2 linked regions of the Astyanax mexicanus genome follow. The protein of the gene in region 1 purifies or fractionates together with the protein of each later gene. This does not show direct contact. Links are inferred from orthologs where the notes say so. Each region holds a gene or a part of one and is shown on either strand. Other genes may lie near its edges.

Region 1 (7,343 bases):
ATGGGTGTGAGATGCTGGAAGTGGGTGTGGCTTCAGCAGTAATGACTGGAGATGCTGGAGGTGGGTGTGGTCTAAAGCAATAATGGGTGTGAGGTGCTGGAAGTGGGTGTGGCTTAAGCAGTAATTACTTGAGATGTTGGAGGTGGGTGTGGTCTAAAGCAGTAATAGGGTGAGGGGCTGGAAGTGGGTAGAGTTTATTAACGCTCTAAACATAAATTCTTTGACTACATTGCAATAATGAAATTTCTGAATATAATTAATAATAATTTAGTTTAGAAAGGTTAAATAAGAGAGCTCTATACTGTACCTATCTGCTTCATGTTACAGTTGAAGTCGATGCTGGTTACTGTGTCTCTGTGCCCTTTAAAGTTTCTCTGGAGGGATGGATCATCCTGAAAAAGCACAATATTAAAAGATAAAGGCACCAGGTTATTAACCCTAACACTAGCGCTATCACCCAGGTCAAATGTATAGCAATGTATATACTAGTGCATTTCAAAAAATGTGAATACCAAAAGTTGCTTTTATTTCAGTAATTATTTTCAAAATGCAAAACTCATATATAATATAAATAAATGCTTTACACACAGAGTGATCTATTTTAAGTGTTTATTTATTTCATTGTTGATAATAATGGAATTTTTAGCCAATAAAAAGCCAAACATCTGTGTCTCAGAAAATTAGAATATTATATAAGACCAATTGGTACTTTCTGCAGTGTGGGCAGTGTGCCAAGTCCTGCTGGAAAATGAAATCTGCATTTCCATAAAAGTTGTCAGCAGAGGGAAGCATGAAGTGCTGCAAGATTTTGTGGGAAAACAAAACTGTACTGACTTTAGACTTGATTTAACACAGTGGATCAACACCAGCAGATGACATGTCACTCCAAACCATCACTGCTCATCAGTACATTTTACATTTCATTTGTAAATCAAGGGATCAGAGTCTGGAGGAAGAGTGGAGAGACACCCAGTCCAAGCTGCTCGAGGTCTAGTGTGAAGTTTCCACAATCAGTGATGGTTTGTAGAGACATGTCATGTGCAGGTGTTGATCCACTGTGTTCTATCAAGTCTAAAGTCAGTGCAGTGTTTTCCCACAAAATCTTACAGCACATTTATGGAGATGCAGATTTCATTTTCCAGCAGGACTTGGCCCACACTGCAGAAAGTACCAATTGATCTTATATAATATTCTAATTTTCTGAGATACCGATTTTTGGGTTTTCATTGGCTGTAAGCCATAATAAACAACAATCACACGTCCAGAGCAACCTAGAGTCCATACCCAAGCCATGTATAATCTGATTTATGCAAATACATTACTTTGCAGCCACCTAGTAAGACCTTAGCAACCACTTAGCAACACCTAAGAAACAATATAGCAACTACCATGGACACCATAGCAACATCTTAGCAACCACCATAGCAACACCATAGCAACAACAGAGCAACCACTTAGGAACACCTTAGCAACTACCATGGACACCATAGCAACCACCACTGATACCATAGCAACACTTTAGCAACCACCTAGCTAATGTATTTGCATAGATCAGATTATGCAAATACATTATCTTAGCATCCACCTAGCAACACCTTACCAACCACTTAGCAACAATATCGCGACCACCACAGATACCATAGCAACACCTTAGCAACCACTTATAAACAACATAGCAACCAACAAGGATACAACAGCAACACCTTAGCAATTAGCTAGCAACCACATGGGACCACCATAGTAACCACCACGGATAACATGGTAACACTTAAGAAATCACCTAGCAACCGCTTAGCAACAGCTTAACAACCCGCACAGATACCCAAGCAACCTCTTTAGCAACCACCTAGCCACCGGTTAGCAACAACATAGCAACCTCCACAGCGAACAGTGGAATCAATTTTAGCTGCACAACTATCTTGTGTTAACTTTTCTAGTTAATTATGTTTTTCTTCATAATTTGGATTACTTTTATTTTTTATTTATTTATTTATACAACTGAACCTCGTTAAAGCTCTGAAATCAGTTTAAATGTTCAAGTAAATACGGTAAATGTGTATTTCATGTAATATGCAGCTCTGGAAAAAAATAAGAGACCGCTATAGTTTCTGAATCAGTTTCTATGATTCTGATATTTATAGGTATATATTTGAGAAAAATGAACACTCTTGTTTTATTTTATACACTACGGACAACATTTCTCCCAAATTGCAAAAAAACATTGACATTTAGAGGATTTAATTGCAGAAAATGAGAAATGAGTGAAATAACAATAAAGATGCAGAGCTTTCAGACCTCAAATAATGCAAATAAAACAAGTTCATATTCATAAAATGTTAAGAGGTCAGAAATCAATATTTGGTGGAATAACCCTGGTTTTTAATCACAGTTTTCATGCATCTTGGCATGTTCTCCTCCCCCAGTCTTACACACTACTTTTGGATAACTTTATGCCTGCACTCCTGGTGCAAAAATTCAAGCAGTTCAGTTTGGTTTTATGGCTTGTGATCATCCATCTTCCTCTTGTTTATATTCCAGATGTTTTTAATTAGGTAAAATCAACTCATTCATTTTAAGTGGTCTCTGTATTTTCAGAGGTCCAAAATCTGGATGATCCACAAACATAGATTAGCTAGTTTTAGTTAAAGCCAGTAAATAACTCACCATAGCGCAGCTCCTTTTCTTTATACACAGAGAAAGAGCAGATAGTCCACACACCCAGCCGATAAACTCACTGGCTAATGTTTAACATTACAATAAACAGAGTCACAGTAAATATAAGCAGATATTTTACTTATATTATATATGTGTTTTTATAAGGAGAGCTGAGTTACAGGTGGCGGTTGTTGTGGAGTTAGCATTAGCTACCTGGCTAACTAACGCTCCCCGGCTCCGTATCAGGTGTTCTCGGGTTTCTAAGAGCTAAAACCAGGCAAACTTCCCGGTTTTATTCACTTTGAACTGAATAGCCGTCTATCTGCGAGCTGTACTGAAATATCCGAATCTGTACAGAAAGTGTAAAGAAGTTCAGAGTGAGAGAAGCACTAGGAACTCGGCTCTGAGCCGCTTAGTAACGAAAACAAACCGCCGACAGATTTGTTTTCCGCGCCGACTTGTGAATGAATCATTTTACTGAATCGGTTCATTTTAATGAATCAAAACTATTAATAAATAGTTGACCGTTTTAATCACCCTGCTATGTATGGCAATGACATTTGTTTAAAGTAACTTATTTGTATGTAAATATATTGCTCTAGAAAGTAAAAAAAATCCATCCCAGGGTTTTGTACCAACTGCCTGGGCGGCTCTGCTTACCCACCTCTAATAATAATCGAAATTCTTTATTTAAAAAGCCATTTTCTTAAAATAAAAAGTTTGTTCAGAGTTAATTTAGCAAATATTTAAAAGTGATGTATTGTTAGAATTTTAATTGTAGATTTTTATAATCTATTAAATAATCACTTTAAAAATTAAAATACAACCAATTAAAAGAAAAAGTGACTGACTTCACTACTTCCCATTCATTCAAGTGACCGTTATGAAGAATCGGTTCGTTGAAATGAATCAAAGTTGGTCGCTAAGACAGATCTCCGCCATTATATCAGAGCATTACTGTTTTAACCGCTAGAGGGAGCCCGCGAGTGAGTCCAAAATGAATGGGGGTGAATGGAGCTAAACAACTAAACAAATTATAAATAAAATAAAAAATACGAATTACACTTAGCCAGGATATTCCTTTAATTTTGAAAATTATAATGATGTATTTTGCTAAAAATAAATAAAACGTACCTTAGTTTTTCTTCAGGAAACCGGTTTTAGGCAGTTAAGGTGCTCGTTACTGCAACTGTAGGCGGATACATAGCAAAAGCATGATTAAAAGGTTTATAACTGGAGTAAAAAAGCTTTAAAATTATGTTTTTCTGTACTAAAACAGGATATATTGTTCTGTGTTTAGAAAATGAGTACACTTTAAAAGCATTCAAATGATTCATTATTTACAATCTCCAATTTTGGTCAATTGCTCCATATGAAGCCATTAATTTTGGACTCACTCGACAGCGCCTCCTAGTGGTCAAATCTGACAAAGATTCACTAGTCTAGTGGGTATTCTCGCTACTAGAGATTTTCTGGGCGACTCCTGATTGGCCAGTATACAGTACGTGAGCATTTTTTTTTTAATCAAAATAAAAGCTCCCTGGAAGACAATATATTATATAAAATGATACGAACTGGAAATACAAATTATACATTAAATATAAATTACATTTAATAATACACATCAAAATAATTTCAAAAAAGTATATAATAATTTGGACAGAGACAGAGATTTAAAAGCGCAGACTGGAAGTCAGCATTGTGGAAACTGCAGTTTAATCAGACCCCCGCTAGAGGTCGGTAAATTGTAGGCTTAAATTTATTTATTTTTTATTTGACCTATAAATTAATACTTACACTTTTAATAAGAAAAAAAAACATAGATGGCTTTAAAATCATTTATTTAAATAAAATAATACTATTCATATATAGTTTTTCCAATATTTTTTCCTACCTCAACATTTAAGCCTGATAAAGGATGTTTGAATCATGATAAATGTATATTCACAAGATTCTAAAAAAAATAAAATAATTGGAATAAATAAATGTATATATATATATTATATGTGTAGAACAAGAGAACCAGTATATAACTGTATAACTGTATAGGCATTTGTACAGTTGTCATGTTCTATATACAGTACTGATAAAAAAGTATTTTCCCCGTTACAGATTTATTATTTGTTTGTTTGTGTTATTATATTTAAATTTTTCAGATTACTAAACAAACTTTAATATCAAACAAAGATAAATAAAAAAAACGTTTATAAATAACTATTTCATTTATTAAGGTAAATTATTAATTGCCTTTCCATGAATGAACTGTGATTAACTACATTTTGTGCAAAGCTAAATTAAATTTCACTACTGTCCAGTGTCCACAACCAGAAGCAGCTAAAAGATCTCAAAAAGCAACAATCTGCCCCAATATGAAAAAAAAAAAAAATCAACAGCAGGTGAGAAAACAGCAACTGAGAAACTCACTGATCTTGGAAAAGGTACAACTTCAACAATTTCTAAGGCTTTGGGACTCCAGCAGACCACCGTAAGAGCTACTATTTACTAATGGAGAAAACATGGAACACTGGTGAACCTGAACAACTCATCCGGGAAGTAACAAAAGAACCCAGAACAACATTTGAAGAAATACAGGTCTCACTTCTCTCAGTTAAGGTCAGTATTAATGATTCAATTATAAGAAAGAGACTGGTTGAAAATGGTATCCATGGGAGAGTCCAAAGCAAAAACCACTGTTGAACCAAAAGAAAACAAAGGCTTGTCTTACATTTGCCAACTTACTGATTAAAACCCTGACAACAGTCAACAGTCAGGCCTCCAATCCTATCTTAGCCATGCAGGAGCGCCATGTGCGTTGCGTGCCCTCAGCGTATACACCCACGTTTCTTACACACTTACACCACAATCCAGCTTTCACATCAACAATAAACAGAATAAAGAATAAAATAACATTGCTGTTCCCTTAAATGAGCTGCTGGCGTACCTTTACAGAGTGAACGAGCAAGTCAGGATCCTCTGCTGAGACACGCAAAAGCGCTGCGCTGTTAAGATACAAATGCGGTTTATTCAGTGGACAAATCTTCTGGACAAAAGTGCAATGAACAATGAAAAGGACAATGATTCAGTTTAAGGGTAGCAAAAAGACACCCAAACAGTGAAGGGTCCTGAGGGTTAGACTGGTGAAGGCTGTCTATGCTGGATATTCTGGCTGAGACCAAGAAAATACAGTTAGGTTATTTTTGCATAAGTCAGAACTCTAAGAACTCTTAAACTTCACTGTATAAGTGACGTTTTTTCGCTTAAACTGATTGATCTTTCTTTATTTTACATTATCTATTGCACTCCAAAAACCCTGTTTTGTCAGGAAGATTGATTTAACAAACTGGCAAAGCTATTTTTTTTTTTTAAATTGGGACTCATTTTTTCCTATGCTGTATTACAACATGAGCATCAGGATCCCATTTGACAAAATCTTTCAACCAATACTATCTGTTTGTGTGTGTGTGTGTGTGTGTGTGTGTGTGTGTGTGTGTGTGTGTGTGTGTGTGTGTATGTGGGATCTCAGAAAGAGCTCCACTCAGCAAACATGTTCTGGGAAAGAAGTGCAGGCTGACATGTTTAAATATTAGTTGTTCTGCTGAAGAGAAGGTGGCTCTGAGTTACTAGTAATTGGGTTAAACTGGGTTTCACAGAAGATAAGCACCAGCTCAAAGCTCAGCTCAGCTGAGTGTGTGTGTGTGTGTGTGTATGTGTGTGTCTGTGTGTAAATCCATAATCTATAATCAAAGATAATCAGAAACAAACGCCTTTTTATTCATTTATTTATTTATATTAAATAGAAATGCAGTATGTATAGCAGGTATTACATGTAGCATAACAAGAGCATGATAACTATTTTTACTATAATGAAATCAGTATAAAATCACCTCTTTCAGAAATGACAGTCTGGGTGGCATCATCATGAGTAATTAGTGCCCCAGCTGCCATAAACTGTGATTACTCAACATTTCACTATAAAACAGCAGCGTCCAGTAAAGACACACCAGTTTAGAGTCTAGCACCAGTTTCTGAGCACCAGTTAATCCTTTTTTTACAAATATATAAGTGCATTTTTATTTAAAACAAGAAAGAAAGAAAACAAGTATCACGTCACATGACTCACATGAGGTTCCCCTTGTGTTTTCAAGCATGATTGTTAAAGATATCAAGTAATTCAAAAAAACTCCTTTTTTAAAAAAAAAATACTTTCTTTGTGCTAAATTGCTTCATAAAGCAGAAATAAAACATGAGCTCTGATCTGACAAAGTGCACAAGTCATAAAGATAGCACGGTTCAAGTTATATCATCATTTCACATTATTTGAATGTTTACTCCAAGTAAAACGACCAGGACAGGTGCTGAAATATATAAAGGTAGAAATATAAATGCAGTTCATTAGAATTTACAGACACAGTAAAAAAAAAAAGAACAATGGAAATACACATTAAATTCAAATTTAAATTCAAATCAAGCCGCAGAAAGCTAATTCTTGTAAAATAGCACCATTAGTATCTCAGACTGAGAGTTCAGTCGTAGCACCAGAGAATCCTGAGGACTGGCTGTGTTTCTGCTCACCGTCCCGTTCACCTGACCCGTCAGGTCCAATCAGACGGGTCTAAATACCATAACAACAGGATAAAACCTGTACTTTTCATATGCCCGTTCTAAAACTTTCCATCGGACAAAATCAA
Region 2 (7,240 bases), on another chromosome or scaffold:
AATATAGGATAGAATATTTTCATTTAATTTTCCAACTATAGTTTATCTTGGCAAAGATCCATTAAGCTTAAGCATCTAGTGTGCCAACAGTCATGGAATAGCATTATATAAATTTATCATGAATTTTATATCAGGGGACAGCTTGGGAATGGCCACACCTGTAATGTGAAACACAATGAATTATTGCTACTGAAATGTATACTGCAAATTCTAATAGAAATAATGCGAAATAAATCTTCACATTATAAGGTGCACTGGGTTATAATGCGCATTAAAGCCAAACGAGTGCTGGATGGTAATCTACACAGATTCCTCTCCTGAAAATGTGAGTAAAGCGGTTGCGTTTATTTACAGTAAGCTTAGCAGCCAGCAGCTTTAGCATTAGCAGCTAACCACTAGCTCTAACCACAGTTAGCACTAGTAAATACTGCCGACAGGGCTACACTGAGGAACTCTTAGTGTTCCGGTAAGCCAGGTTGATATTAGCTAGCGGTTCATCGCATGTAGCTTGTTTTAACACGGTAAACATGGAGACTACAGTCCGATATACTCACCGCTAAATGTCGAAAGAGCTAGCACTTAGCGCGGTTAGCAGCTAATGCTACTACTGCTCCAGTAGTGCTAGCCAGCGTTAGCAGCCGGCTACAGTCTGATATACTTGGATATACTCGGATTAAAAGGCACACTAATTATTTTTGGGAGAATTAAAGGATTTTAAGTGCGCCTTGTAGTGTGAAAAAATGTGAGAAAATTATGGTTTTATCCAACAATGACAATATCTGACAGTTGTCAGATATGAAACCAGGCACATTCATAAGACCCAGGGACATCCCCTGCTGCCCACATGCAATTGCATGTATAATATTTTGTTTTTGATACATTAAAAACAACAATTAGGCTATTTGGTGGTGTACCACCTTGGTGTGCCTTATTATGTGGCACTTCAAGTACATAATGCTTGAAGTGGCACATAATACACCACATTCAGTAGCCTAGCATGCTAGAAGATGCAAGTCATGGTGTGGTTAATTGCACAGTTAGTAGTGTGTACAATTAGCCAACCATCTTAAATAGTTTTGAACGAATAGTTTTGTCGCTGTCCTATGACAAACACTTATCTCCATTATTGTGGATTTTTAGTTTACAACATAATTTGAACAGACAAACTGTCCCTTACACTGTCAAAATTTATTGATGAACGTACCAATAGAAACTCTTCAAAATGACCTGAAATAAACTCTTATTACACTGACTTCCATTAAAAGTTTACAAGGTTTTTTCTCTCTCCTATAAAGTCCCTTTGTTGCTGATCTTACAAATTGTTGTGCCTTTTTTTAAAAAGAAGACCTGGCTCAAACACTGGCAGCCGAAAAGGGAGCTGTATGTGCCTACATGCACCAGTTTTAATTTCATCATAAAAATATAAATTCTAAACAGGTTAGTTGCCATATTTCAGCTATAATTTTCATTGACTAGAAAAATTAATAAGATGTTTTAAAACGTTCACACTATGTTTCGATTGCTTTACTTAGTATATTTTGATATGGACCCTTAATACATATTAAAACTGGTTTGGTATCTGCATCTGCAGGTAACACAAGGTTTTAGCAAAAGTAAGTAAATAAGTGCATTAGGTGAAAGGTCTGTACTCATTTGTAATGGGTCTATCTGTATGATAGAGCTACTACAGATACATTATCTGGCTGACACAGAAAAACTGCACTGTCGGTCAATGACTGAACGGAGAGTTTACTAATCACTGCTCGTGTCAAGATACTGATTTGTGCAACATCCTTTTACAGCCTTTCTAATGAATATGCCAAACAGGACAGCTTGGTCCTACTGTATATTGCAGCTATGGGATGGCCAGCTTATGAACTGACCTGGATTCATAACAACCAGCTAAATAAATTATATTTTTTTTATGTGTGTAACAAATAAGACAAGTACTAGTTAGAATAGGCCTACCCAGATATGTTGTGAATTTCACAATAAGGAAGAAATGTATTAGATTCAATACAAATAATGGACAAAGTCCAAAATGTGCTAATGTGGAGCATCCAGAGAAAGTGGACTAAGGCATAAATTGCTAAAGCATTGCTTAAGCAGTTCCAGAAATTACAGACATGTTTCCATGATTAGCCTGCCACTTACTAATTAACAAATTTGTATGCAAAAAATATCAACAGCACATTTGTCTGACTCAACCCATTGTAACTACAGATGTGTTTCATGGATAGACATGTTTTATAGATGCTAAATAAAAACTCTGCAAAAAAGGTAACCCAGTATATATTGTATGATGCACCAGAGAAAAAGAGAAAAATATTTTTTTAATGTTTTCATTTCTTTCAATGATTTTTTATTTATTTATTTTACTCTGGTTCATTATATAATCTAATAAAAGATCATACAATATTTATACTTATATGTTGCTGATTTTTTTTTATTATATTTTGTATTATTATATTTCTAATATTTATTGTCTGCATATTTTATACTGTAATATAGTTTGGGGGAGTGTTCTGCTAGTCTTAGTAAAATTTTGGTTATTCAGACACAATTTGTTTGTATTGCAATGCAATCAAAATTATTTATGCCACCTGTTCAGATACTTCTCTATTTATAATATTAATATATTTCAAATATGTTTTACTTGTAAAAAAGATATTAAAATGAAGGAAATATCGCAATGCATGAATTACTTTATCACAAATTCAGATACACCCATATTCAGTCTGTAGATTTTTCTTGTAGAGGTCAATTTAAAATAAGGTTTAGGGGAACAAAATTGTGAGATGATTTTGCCATTTAAAAACATTTTTTCGCCTTTACTTGCACTGCATGTTGTCTGTTTGCAGTTTACATGAATGCACTATATGTGCTAAACTTTAGTTTAGTTAAACAGTCCTGGGCGTTTGGTGAGGAGCAGTAAACTCTTTTTGTCTCTGTAAAGTCTGTATTTACACGGATAGTAAATGTTCCAGGCGTTTCTAGAGAGTTCTCTCCGCGGGCTCTGGTTCCTCTCGGGGGAAATCTTTAATATGCGCGAGAGTCGTGACGTTTTTTTAGTTCCAGTATTTTATTGGCTCTCTCGCCTGTCCGTTAACTCTGAGGTGGTTTGATTGGTCAATCCTGGAGGCGGGTCCTGTAGCTAGGAAAACATTTTTTCGCCTTTACTTGCACTGCATGTTGTCTGTTTGCAGTTTACATGAATGCACTATATGTGCTAAACTTTAGTTTGTGGTAGACTTTTTTAGTTACATTCAGAGTGTGCAGACATAGACACCAACGTGAAATCATTTTGTTGTGCAGTAAAATGTCTCATACAGCACCAAACTACTAAGCATCTTTAGCCGACTGGTCACCAGATAAACTAGCCGCTCTAGCCCAAATCAATGATAGATAACGTTTTTTTTATTATGAAGTGTTCCACGTGCGCTAAAAAGTGCCCTTTTTCCCCCCTGAGCACTCGGCCCCCAAAATGTCTGTGCACGACCCTGGTTACATTAGTTTATTTTTGTTCAATTAGTTTATTTTTTTTACATTTTTCTGCTATACTGTTGTTATTATTTTATGTACTATAAATCTTGTTGAGTTACTATAGGAAATATACCTAGGTTTATACTTTTTTGTATCTACTGAATGTATAAAATGTATATTAAGGCTTATAGCTGCCACTCAGCTTATATTTATTCTAAATTAAAAAAATGTTTTGTCTTATCGCAATGAATACCATTATTGCAAAAAATACCATCAAATATCGTGATGTTATGTTAGGGCCATATCGACCAGCCCAAGGGGCCAGGCATTTTTTTTTTTTACATATTTACCTATAAATAAATCCAGCACAATTCGAAAAGAGACTCGGCTCGTGAGTTAAACAGTCCTGGGCGTTTGGTGAGGAGCAGTAAACTCTTTTTGTCTCTGTAAAGTCTGTATTTACACGGATAGTAAATGTTCCAGGCGTTTCTAGAGAGTTCTCTCCGCGGGCTCTGGTTCCTCTCGGGGGAAATCTTTAATATGCGCGAGAGTCGTGACGTTTTTTTAGTTCCAGTATTTTATTGGCTCTCTCGCCTGTCCGTTAACTCTGAGGTGGTTTGATTGGTCAATCCTGGAGGCGGGTCCTGTAGCTAGGAAGCGGCTGCGTGTTTTCCTGTCTGTGAATAACGTGCCTCCGCTGGTCCGCTGCTCCGCGCTGTTCGTTGTTTCTGAGCGCAGTCTGAGACTCAGGGCTGTTAGAAATGGGAGATGATGAGGAGAAGTATGACGGGATGCTGCTGGTTATGGCGCAGCAGCACGAAGGAGGAGTGCAGGAGGTAACGTGTGAAGCGAGCTGCGAGAACAAGAGCATCAGCAGCAGCAGGGCGGCTAGCTGGGTTAGCTAACAGCGGCTAGCCTGTGATGGACCTGATTTACTCGCCTGTCTGTTGATAGGGATTTGGTTAGGGTTTTATTCATTATTTCATTGAACAGCAGCAGCAGCAGCTATCCGTGCTGTGTTTCTGAGAATCTAATCTAGCACTGCTCCTGTGGTTGCCGTTATACGGGTAAAGTTACCGGTGTCTGTGTAGCTAGGTAGTTAGCTAACTAGCTTATTTAGCTTTTTTTTTATCCTAATAAACTATAAGCTTAACTAGCTAGTTAGGTTAGCTAACTTTAGCCAGCTTTTAACTTTAATCCCTGGGCATCTAGTCACAGACCTTCTCATAAGTAGCAGTTTTGATCTATAATCAACAATCAGTGTCTGCTGCTACAGCTAACATAGGCCTGTCACCATAACTGTATTTGTGGACTATATATTACACCCACATACAGTACCAGTCATAAATTAATATTAAAGACCTTAACAGTAAAGGAACACACATGGAATTACATAGTAAACAGAAAAGTGTTTGTCCTCCACAATCATCTTGAGCACAGTGTGAATTAAAGTATAAATCATATTCTGGTTTGTTTACAAAGGAATTCTGCATTTGTTCCTGTGTAGCTTTAATGTCTTAAATATTACATTTAAAATATAATAGAAAGTAATATAAAGAAGTAAAACGATTTGAATGAGAAGGTATATCCTAATATATATATATATATATATATATATATATATATATATATATATATATATATATATATATATATATACAAAAAAAAAGTTGCAGCAGTTCTTCAGGTCTAGGTTTAGAAACAGTATGTGATAAAAGAATGAGGTCAGCTGACTACCTGAATATACTGAATGACCAGGTTAATCCATCACTGTTTTTTTTTCCTTCCCTAATGGCAGGGGCATATTCCAAGATGACAATGTCAGGATTCGTGGGGCTGGAATTGTAAAAGAGTTCAGGTTCAGGGAGCATTAGATCATCATTTTTACAGAAATGACAGTAAATACTGAAATTGCAGCATATTTGTAAAAAAAAATTAATTGCCTATTTACATTAAGTAACGCTTTTCTGTTTGTAAATATTTTTTAATCACCTATTTACATTAAGTAACGCTTTTCTGTTTGTTGCAGTCCTCCCTCTATGTATGGAGGCACTTTTATTAATGCAATGGTTATTGCATTACCGGCTGAAATATTGCCGATGTTTCTTCATTCTCTTGTAATCAAGAATGCAAGTAAACAGAATTTGTGATATCAGGGTTATAAAAAAAAAGTTATGAAAAGTAATGATTAGGTCATATTTTTGTATTGTTCTGGATGTGTTTGGTTGATAATGGTAGCGAGCAAGTCATTTTATGTGCATCCTGTTCTGTCTCAAAGGCTCACTTAACTAATTATGCTGATATATTGTCAGTACCCTGACTTTCTGTGTAAACGGCAAATAGAAGAAATAACTAAATAAACACTTTTTTTTCTACAGTTGGTGAACACATTCTTTAGCTTTCTCAGACGAAAAACAGACTTTTTTACTGGAGGTGAATCTGGAGCTCCAGAGAGGGTGAGTTAATGTCATTGAATAGAAACAATCCCTTATCTTTTTTTTTTTTTTTTTTTTTTAGTTTTCTTCCAAATCTTTTTTTTATGTTTGTGTTTAGTAATATAGTGTGCTTCACTCAATCTTTACTCCTTAGTTGGTAAAGGAGGCATTTGCCCATCACAGTCAGCTGGCGCTCCAGGCCCATAAGGACAAACAGTCCAAACAGGAGAAGGAGAAGAAAGAGAAAGCAGAAAGAGCTGCTAAGCTGAAAGCTGAAGAGGAGAGAAAAAAGAAAGAGTTGGAGAACGAACCCAGAATTAAAGAACTGACGGATGAGGAAGCGGAGAGACTGCAGACAGAGATAGATCAGGTAAGACTGTCCACTAGTTTTCTCTTTTACAGCTAGAAGTTTACAGTACGTTTATTAACCTGATTGTTTTGTTTGATTAGTTGATTGGTTTGGCTTGGTGCCTTAAATCTTTTGCATTTCTCTATTGTGCATGATTTATGCAGAAGAAAGACAAAGAAGAGCAAAAGGAGAAAAAAGACACTGAAAGCAGTGCTGCCGATACATCTGATAAAGCAGAAAAAGGGGTGAGTGAGGAATACACATTTATGATAATGGGAAAAGAAAGATGTGGACATACCTAGGATGAATTTTGATCAATTTGCCGTATTCAGAGTCAGATGAACTGTCTCTGTCTCTGCCTGACTCAATTTCAAGAGTATAGTGAGATTTCCATGCAAATGAAATAACTTATGTTTCAGTCACAGCATACCGGTAAGTGTAACCGGTACTGGCATATGGGATTGCCATTTTACAGTGTACAACACTAACACTAACAAAACACTGGCAATCTGTAAAACTAAATGGTTTATATGGGTATATAATGCTTTTTTTTTAACACTAAAGTGTTCTGCTGTACATATATACTTGTACATATAGCTTGTCAAATGTTTTGTGTGGTAATCTTGAGTTTTACTGATGTGTCGTTTAGTCTGAATCTGAAGGAGAAGAAGATGAGAAGGATAAGAACAAAGTAAAACCTAATTCTGGGAATGGAGCAGATCTGCCCAACTACAGATGGACACAGTCCTTGTCAGAAGTGGATGTGAGTATATTTTGTGGAGCTTTAGTCAAGCTTGCCTTTTTGTTTCTTCGAATACAGATATGACCACACTAATGAGTTTATTTGTAATGAGATAAATGATGACTGTATCCAGTTGTTGCTTTATATTCTTATTTAAGCTCTGTGATTGTGGCCATTTATGTAAACATGCATGGATGAGTTAAAGTTTGTTGGTGTTTAGCATACGTATGC

Evidence for each region.
Region 2: the proteins of poc1a (region 1) and nudc purify together in Homo sapiens (co-immunoprecipitation; 3 studies listed by BioGRID and IntAct, with this or other methods). This does not show direct contact. The link is inferred for Astyanax mexicanus from reciprocal best matches to the Homo sapiens genes POC1A and NUDC.

The regions. Positions count from the first base shown.
Region 1 is NC_064431.1:16,184,297-16,191,639, reverse strand, and holds the start of poc1a (POC1 centriolar protein homolog A), read right to left. Parts: upstream 3,113-7,343; 5' UTR 2,668-3,112; coding exon 2,665-2,667; intron 393-2,664; coding exon 308-392; intron 1-307.
Region 2 is NC_064410.1:21,454,343-21,461,582, reverse strand, and holds the start of nudc (nuclear migration protein nudC), read left to right. Parts: upstream 1-4,128; 5' UTR 4,129-4,244; coding exon 4,245-4,319; intron 4,320-5,861; coding exon 5,862-5,939; intron 5,940-6,072; coding exon 6,073-6,288; intron 6,289-6,431; coding exon 6,432-6,512; intron 6,513-6,916; coding exon 6,917-7,030; intron 7,031-7,240. UniProt on the Homo sapiens protein: Plays a role in neurogenesis and neuronal migration. Necessary for correct formation of mitotic spindles and chromosome separation during mitosis. Necessary for cytokinesis and cell proliferation.